2 linked regions of the Rattus norvegicus genome follow. The protein of the gene in region 2 binds, or shares a complex with, the protein of the main gene of each other region. Links are inferred from orthologs where the notes say so. Each region holds a gene or a part of one and is shown on either strand. Other genes may lie near its edges. The genes, in order: Chek1 and Clspn.

Evidence for each region.
Region 1: the proteins of Clspn (region 2) and Chek1 are in contact, whole or in part, in a crystal structure (PDB 7AKO), measured with the Homo sapiens proteins. The link is inferred for Rattus norvegicus from reciprocal best matches to the Homo sapiens genes CLSPN and CHEK1. Residues at the interface, in NP_071394.2 of Homo sapiens: Glu938, Leu940, Leu941, Leu943, Cys944, Ser945, Gly946; in NP_001107593.1 of Homo sapiens: Lys53, Lys54, Cys57, Met61, Arg129, Thr153, Val154, Phe155, Arg156, Tyr157, Asn158, Arg160, Glu161, Arg162.

The regions. Positions count from the first base shown.
Region 1 is NC_086026.1:44,626,853-44,631,440, forward strand, and holds the start of Chek1 (serine/threonine-protein kinase Chk1), read right to left. Parts: upstream 2,992-4,588; 5' UTR 2,967-2,991; exon of another isoform or gene 2,786-2,966; intron 2,769-2,785; exon of another isoform or gene 2,258-2,768; 5' UTR 2,241-2,257; coding exon 2,176-2,240; intron 351-2,175; coding exon 127-350; intron 1-126. UniProt on the Homo sapiens protein: Serine/threonine-protein kinase which is required for checkpoint-mediated cell cycle arrest and activation of DNA repair in response to the presence of DNA damage or unreplicated DNA.
Region 2 is NC_086023.1:144,151,528-144,155,337, reverse strand, and holds part of Clspn (claspin), read right to left. Parts: coding exon 3,733-3,810; intron 2,490-3,732; coding exon 2,314-2,489; intron 2,047-2,313; coding exon 1,982-2,046; intron 1,298-1,981; coding exon 1,101-1,297; intron 796-1,100; coding exon 641-795; intron 1-640.

The sequences.
Region 1 (4,588 bases), on a different chromosome or scaffold from region 2:
CAGATGACAGCCTGGTTTAGTACAGACCAGTTGATGGGCCTGTGGAGAGATGGTGGGTTTAATCTCCAGAAACACACAACATATAGACTTGATCAGTAAAATAGTTATCTTAAATCTTCTCCATACCTATTCTATCAAAGAGTTCTCCTCCACTACAGTACTCCAGAAACAGGTACTGGATGTTGCCTTCCCTCCTGTGGCCATAGAATTTCACTACATTCTCATGATTTAACATCTTATTGATGCAGATCTCTTTCTTAATATTTTCTGGGCAGTCTATGGCCCGCTTCATGTCTACAATTTTCACTGCAACAGCTTCTTCAGTTATTCTATTCACAGCAAGTTGAACTCTTAAAAAGAGAGAGAGAGAGAGAGAGAGAGAGAGAGTGAGTTACAACATTTTCACCTCAGAATTCCATTTCTCCTACATCTTCAAAAGATTAGTGACGCACACCTGTAATTCCAACCTTCTAGAGAGAGACAAAGGGGTCTAAGTTCAAGCCAGCCCAGCCTGGACTACAAAGAAACTTTCAAAGCAGGGAGTGATGATGTGTACAAGTCTTGGATCCCAGCACATGAGAAGCAGAGGCAAGGGCTGGAGAGATGGCTCAGCCGTTAATGGCTAGGCTCACAACCAAAAACCTAAGAGAAACAGAGGCAAGCAGAGCGCTTGGAGTGAGTTTGAGGCCAATGAGACTCTCTACAAACAAAACTGGGGAGGGGGGGAGGGGGGTGCATTGAGGGGTCACCTAGAACGATGGCTCAGCATTTCAGTGCACTTGCTTCAGACCTCAGTACAGTTTCCAGCACCCACGTGGTAGCTCATATAACCCATCTGTAATTCCCAGTTCTGGGGGAATCCCACACCTTCTGGCCCTCTGTCAGCCCTGAACACATGTAGTACACTAACATGCAGGCAAGCAAACACACATATTAAGAAAACACATAAATCTTAGGACGAAAAAAAAACTTCAAGAAATTAAATGTAACACATCCCGAACTATTCTTCCTTTCTTCATCAAGGAAAATGAAATGGCCTCTGCCATGGTCTCCCGAGCAATGAGACCAGAGATGAGTGCTTCAGTGAAGGCTCCAAGTCTTGGAAACATGGAAACCTGGTGTGTGTACTGATGAGGCTTTGAAAAACAGTAACAAGGCTGGATTACATCACATGTACACATGATCTGGCCCCACGGCAGCATTCCTTTCCCTTTATGAATCTCATGCATATATGCCTGAGCACCTCTGAGGTAAGAGCCACTAATTCTATCATCAGATGAAGAAACAAAGACACATAAAGCTCGCTCAGGAACACAAAACACAACTAGGATCCGCTGAGTGTGAGGGTCTCCAGTCAGGCTGGATGCCGCCAGGGTCTTTTCATTATCTCATTTAAAATTTTAAGACACGTGGTTTGTTAGGGAAATGATTTTCTTATAAAAGAAAAATTTAAAAAAAAAAAAAAAAACTGGATCGACTAACATGGGATTGTAATACCTACCTGGGAGGCTACAGTGTGCCACAAGTATAAGGCCAAAGCTGGGCAATTTAACAAGATTTTGATCTGAACAAAATCAAACGCAAAAAGAAATTTGTTGTTCGTTTGATAGGCCTAAAAATGTAGCTCGTCGCAGAGCATAGGCCCAGCATGTGTGGTGATGTGTGGTGATGTTCAATGTCCACTATGACAAAAGAGGAGGGACAAGTGTGGAGAAGTAACTTCACTCAGAGCCTTGATTTACAAATGCAAATATCCATGCTCTTTGCCACTTGGAATAAAGGATTTTTTTAAGTGTGTATTCAGACAAGAGATAGAAAACTAAAACAAGCAAAGAGGTAATATTTTAATAGGGATTGTGGAGATGGCTAGGCAGGTTAAGCCGCTTGCTGTCAGGCCTGATGATCAGAGTTCAGTCCTCTGAACCCTCAACAGAACCAGCAAGTGTCTTCTGACCTCCACAGGTACATCCATGGCAGAACGAACACACACACACACACACACACACACACACACACACACTAAAATGAGGGCTCAAACTTACTCTGCATAGGAACCTTCTCCCAAAGTTTGCACCAGATCCCAGTCTTCAACAAAAGTCAGGCGCGCACGCGCGCGCACACGTGCACACAGACACCCACACACACTAAAAAATTTAAATGAGGGCTCAAACTTACTCTCCATAGGCGCCTTCTCCCAAAGTTTGCACCAAATCCCAGTCTTCCACAAAAGGCACTGCCATGACTCCAAGCACAGCAACTGTAAAATGCAGGATTCCAGAAAATACGGGCGATGAGTGTAAATTCTCATCACCTGTAATGCCGTTGAGCCATGTCTCCTGCCATGATTCCGCACGACTTTGTTTTCCCTTTACATCTCATCCATATTTACCCAAATCATAAAGCTAAATTTAAACATTTTGCCCTGTATATCACAAATCCTGTTTCTACGATAGACCTCCGCCTTTATGCAAAACTGAACACTTGCTTAGCTGGAAGTAACTGCTAAACAAAACAAAACAAAAGCTTTCAGATGAATGACCCGGAAAGGGAGTTGGGGGCAGGACAGGGCAGGGCAGGGCAGGGTGCCGGGGTGGGGGACAGCTGGGTGTAACTAAGGGAATTACTTCCAGAGCAGCCCCTCCTCCCACCCGCTCACTTCCAATTCCCACCCCAACCGCACGTGTCCCCAGCACCGGGAGGGCACGGGGCGGGGCCAAGCCGCGGAGAGAAGCGGAAGGCAGGGACCCCCTAAAGCCGGAAAAGCATGCGAACCCCGGAGGCTTACAAAAAGCTCTGGTCCCTGTACGCTGGAGAGCCGCAGACCACCGGTTCCAGCCCGCACTCCGGGCGGCCCTCCCACCTCTCCGCTCATCTGGGCCACTCCCTCACCATGCCAGCCCGCACTAATCAAGCCCTCTGGGTACTTTGCTGGAGTTCTTTCCCACCGTTCAGGACGCCCTTCTCACCAAGCAGTCCTTTGCCAGCTGCCACAGGAATCCAAGTGCACAGCTTTTCCCGCCAAAACCTGCTTGCGTCATGCTGTCGCAAAAGCGCACACCTTTGCCGTAAAGTGGGCCGGCGCGCGTTGTCCTATCCCGAGCTCTACCGAGGAGCAATTTCGGTAGACTGACCGAGCAAGGGCCCCTCCTTCAAGTACTGGGCGTGCTTGGTTGGAGTTCTGATGCGGCCGCGGTAAGACACAGGCTAATGAGATTTGGTATTGACGACTGCTTTGGTGAGAAGTGATCTGAGTCCCAGAGTGAAATGGCATCGGGCGTGCACTATGCTGGACGCCTTACATTGGTACAGAAAGAATCCATCCAAACGGCGCATCGGTTGGGCCCAGGGCAAGAACCCGGGTTCCTTGCCGGTCAGAGCCTGCAAAGGCTGCACGGTTAACTACGTAAACCGATCTGCTCGTGACCTAGGAGGCCCTGGTAGGAAGGGTTTATGAGGCTCAAACCAAGCGCCACAAAGTGCTCTGTAAACACACAATTGTGGCCTCAGTATTCGAACTGAGAAGCTAGCAACTGCTATTGGAATTAATTCTAAAAAAAAAAAAAAAATGAAGGGAGCAAGAGTGGTGCATGCTTGTAAACCTAGAAATTGCTTGTTAACCTAGAATTTGGAAAGCATAAGCAAGAAAACTGAGTCTGAGGCAACCGAGCTATGCAGAGTTAGTCTTCTCAAACAAAAAAACGAAGGCAAAAAAAAAAAAAAAAATCCACATCGCCTCATAGTCCAGTGAGGGTCACCAATTTTGCCTGCACAGGCTCCAAACCGGCTAAATCTAACGTTATTTTTAGGAAGACTATTTGCCTGTACTAGCTTTCTTAAACGACTATGGTGGCCCATCACTCTAAGAAATGAGGCAGGAGATACTCAACCAAGATGCTCTCTTTCAGACACAAACAGCAAAGTAGACTTAATGGTGACTCATTTATAACCTCGGCCTAGGGAGGCTGAGGCATGGGAACTGCTTCAAGAAGCTGATCAGTCTGAACCAATGTGGGGGTAGAATATGAATGTATATATATTATACATGTTATCATATATATATATACACACACATATATATATACACACGTATATGATCCTTTCTAAACAAAAGTGATGAGTTAGGAAACACAATATTAGTTACTAGGCTAGACTTATGGTAGATGCTTGCCAGGCATGCAAAAGGCCCATAATAAAGTGTAAAATGTCAATTCTAAGGGAAAGGGCTTACATACACAAAATAAGGAAAAACTGAAATCATGTGGGGCTAGACAAGTGCACTGTCACTGAGCTGCACCTCACACTCCATGCAATCTGTCAAGTGAAACAACCTGGAAATGTTTATAAACTTAAACCATGACTTCAGTTTAGGACTCATGTGATGAAAACAAGCTGTTAGATTATTGCCAGTTCTTTGTAATTTCCTGTCTGTGTTCTGAAATCAACAAATACAAAGACCCATGAGGTTCCTCTCCTGGAAAAAACACAGTATCAAAGTCCTGACTTAGAGAGAGGGTGAGGGTGTAGGGGGTGTGTGTGTGTCCGTCCGTCCGTCCATCTGTGTCCCTGTACCAACTAGAGACCAAATGTA
Region 2 (3,810 bases):
TTTCTTCTTCCTAACTGTGTCCCATGCCTGTGCTCCTGCTGCCGTGACTGCCCTGCTGTGACACGCAGTAGCCACTGGAACTCAAAGCAAACCTCCTCCGCCTTTAGGGTCTTTCTCAGTGTCGTCTCAGAGCCACAAGGTCAGTAACTAACACTGGGCCTCAACTCAGGCAACACGATCTAAAGTTTAGCCTCATGCTAACCTAGACAGGGAGGATGGGCAAGGTTTGTTAAAGGTGAGGCATAAAGGCTCACTTCTAGGGTATAAAGGTGGCTTCTAATGATACATCAGTGATGGGTGCTATATTCCAGGACACCTTCATTGCTGATACGGGGACCGGGTGCTATATTCCAATCTTACCCAACAACCAGAACACAAGGAGAACGAACAGAGAAAGCCTTTACAATACAAGGTCTGTGTATTTGAAATAAGATCAGAGAATAGGAATGTCAGCAAGGAGTATTTACATTTTATTTTCTGGAGACTTTGTTCAAACTCGTGGAATATAAGACTAATGGTCAGGACACCTCTTTCTCAGAAGAGAAAGCGCAGATGGAGTGGCAGAAGCTCATTTTATTTTTAAACAAAATTAAGCAGCACCCAGCCTTATTCCCACCCACAGAAACACAAAACTACCTACCCATCTGCATCCAACAGTTGGCTCTGAGTGTCATCTTCCAAACAGAACTGGAAGTCTCCTGCTCCTAGGAAAAGTGTCTTCGGCTCTGGGGAGGCGGTGTACAGATCCTGGGAATCCTCTATGGGAAGTGAAGGCTCAGACAGTTTCCCTGAACTCTGGCACCAAAAACAAAAACAAAAGCAAAACATTTCACAAATGCCATCCAGTGTCATGACAACAACAGAAGTTGCTACTTGCAATATGTCATCTGCTCTCAGGCAATCGCAGTTGAGGCGGACAATGCAGTCAACAGAGCCTAAGGAAAACTACCTGTAGGCACGACCGCCTGCTAATTAATACACGAAGCGGGTGCATTTTTAAAGCTGAGCAGCACGCGGTGGGGCTCGGCTGGCTGGGACACACTCTATTCAGCAGTGTGGGCAGTGAGCAGAGGAGGTGAGAACAGTTCTCCCCGCTTTACCTTAGAAGCCGAGCTGATCAGACTGCCCCGGAACAGTCCAGGGGATGGCGACCTGAATCCTGCTGTAGGGAGAAAACTCGTCCCACGGCCTGTGTGTCTGTTGCAGGGCTGATAGGATGGAATTGTGGAGCCAATGAGCTCAAAGCTGCTGTTGTGGCTGCTCTCTTTTGTTAGCAGTGAACTTGAGTCGTCTTCATCTAAGAGGATGAGAGAATACACTCGGAATACAGAAATACAGAGGTGCATTTGTGTAGGAAGAGTTGGGAAGCGAACAGGTAAATTCACTGGCAAACCACTTAAGTTCTGGGCTCCAAGTCATTCTGTGAAAGGTCAATTAATTCACAACAGCAGCAGTGTATACTTAGGGCTCGTTACTCTGAGCTAAGTGACACATGGGAGTTCTCTTCTGTCTAAGTGCATACCTTTCTTTGATCTTTGCATAGAAATATTTCATGTTTCACTCAATCAACAAAACGTATGTCCATGGTCAACTATAAAAATTTAGCCCAAGGGCTGGAGAACTGGCTCAGCAGTTAAGGGCCCTTGCTGCTCTCGCAGAGGACCCACATGATACCTCACAACCTTGTGTAAGTCCAGGTCCGTGGGACCCGGAGCCCTTTCCAACCTCGTGAGCAGCAGGCACAGCCATTCACGCAGGTGCAACACGCATGCTCATAGAGTAAAAAGAAGTCAATGTTAAAAAAGAAATAAAAGCAGCTCAAAAATGGGTCACAAAAAATATTTCAAGTCATAAATAATGTCACTGCTACATGTAAGAATATGCTGCCACTAGAATAAAAAAGGAAGGAAGAAACATTTGTGAGACTATGGTCTTACATATCAGAACTAAAGAAATGTTCTACGTGAGGGTCACTACTTACCCAGTTTGTCAGACTGCTTGCCCATGTGTTCATCTGTTTCTGATTTTTCTTCAGTAGGAAAGTAACTACAAAATAAAACAGTAAACTGCTTGAGTATCTGTTCTTACTTCCTACTCCCTTGTAAGAAATTCAAGAATGGGCTGGAGAAATGGCCTCATAGTTAAGAGTACACTGCTCTCCCAGAGTCCCAAGACTGGTTCCCAGCTGCAGGGGATCCAGCGCCCTCTTCTGGCCTCCTCAGGCATCTGCACTCGTGTGCACATACCTGCACCTTTAAGAAGGACATGTCTTCAGAAATCCCAGAGAATTTTGTTTTCCTCAGAAGAACTTACCCCATCTTGGAAGAGGTGTCCTTAAACAGAAGTAAGGTGGAGTCCGAGGACAGGGGCTTGGGGACAGAGAGGGCAACAGGTTTGCCGACGTCACTACTGGCGTCTGTGTTTTCTTTATCTGTTTCTTTTTCAGCTTTGGTTTCTGTATCTTCACTGCCAAGAAGATATTCTGAAGTCTATGCCAATCATGTAAAAAAAATAATACAAGTCAAAAAATGTTAAAAGTAAATCCACCCTTAGCTGAAATGTGGATTCCTGGTTATAGGTTACATCTCAAGCATGGAGAGGTGAACTTGAAACAAACTAAGTCCACGCACAATCAGGAAGCCATCCCCTGACTGTTTCTCACGCAGCATCTCACTATGTGGGCCTGGGTCCCTGACCAGTCTGAACTCCCTCTGTAGATCAGGCCAGCCTTGAGTTCACAGAGACCCACCTGCCTCTGCTTCCTGGATGCTGGGATTAACTGTGTGTGCCACCACACCTGACTAGCTTTAGGGCTTTTCACATTCCATGAAGGAGGATTAGATGGGCATGCTACTAAGGCAGTAAGAGAGTAGTCAGTCTAGAGGAAGGATGACTGCTCATCACAGCAAGCACAGACTATAATGTGCTGCCCAGCTCAGACACCCCCTTCCCTTTCTTTACACGGGGTAAACCGAAAAGAAAGCTCATTTCATACTGAACAGCCATATAATGAATACCCACCTTCCCTGGGCTGCAAAACTACTGTGGGACAGGGACAGGGGGTTCTTCCATAAATGCCCTCCTTTACTAAGAATGGGATTGATTTAAAAAGACCTCTTGCCTGAGAACTATTCCAGACCTCAGCCTAAATAAGAACAATTGCTTTTCAATCTCAATCAATGACAAACAGAAAAGTCCTTATTAGTAAAGTTATTTTCAATATAACACTATATTAAAACACACAAACTATCAGGTAGAAACAGGACACACACAGCTGTGAACTGCAGGCACTCAATAATGCCAACCGAACTGTATGTGCGGAGCTTAGAGTACATACACAGATAGCTATTTTCATCCATCCACGAGGCACACACGGCACACACGGCACACACACACACACACACACACACACACACACAGGCAAAACATGCATATACAAAACATGCATATACATGTATACATGTATGCATACACACATATACACATATGGGAGCTGGAGCGATGATGCAGCACTGAAAAGCACTTTCTGCTCTTCCAGAGAACTCTGTTTCAGTCCCCAGCACCCAGCTAACAACTAACTACCCACGACTGAAGTTCCAGAGGACCCAGTACCCTCTCTGGCCTCCGCAGGCACTGAAGTAAACCACTCGTACACACAAATAATAAGTAAATCTTAACTCTTTTCTCTTATTCATCATAGCCAAGAGAGAAAAGTATATAACTGTCCCAAACCTCCTGCATGTCTCCAACCTCCTCCTCCTCCTCCTCCTCCTCCTCCTCCTCTTCTTCCTCTTCTCCATCTTCCTCAGA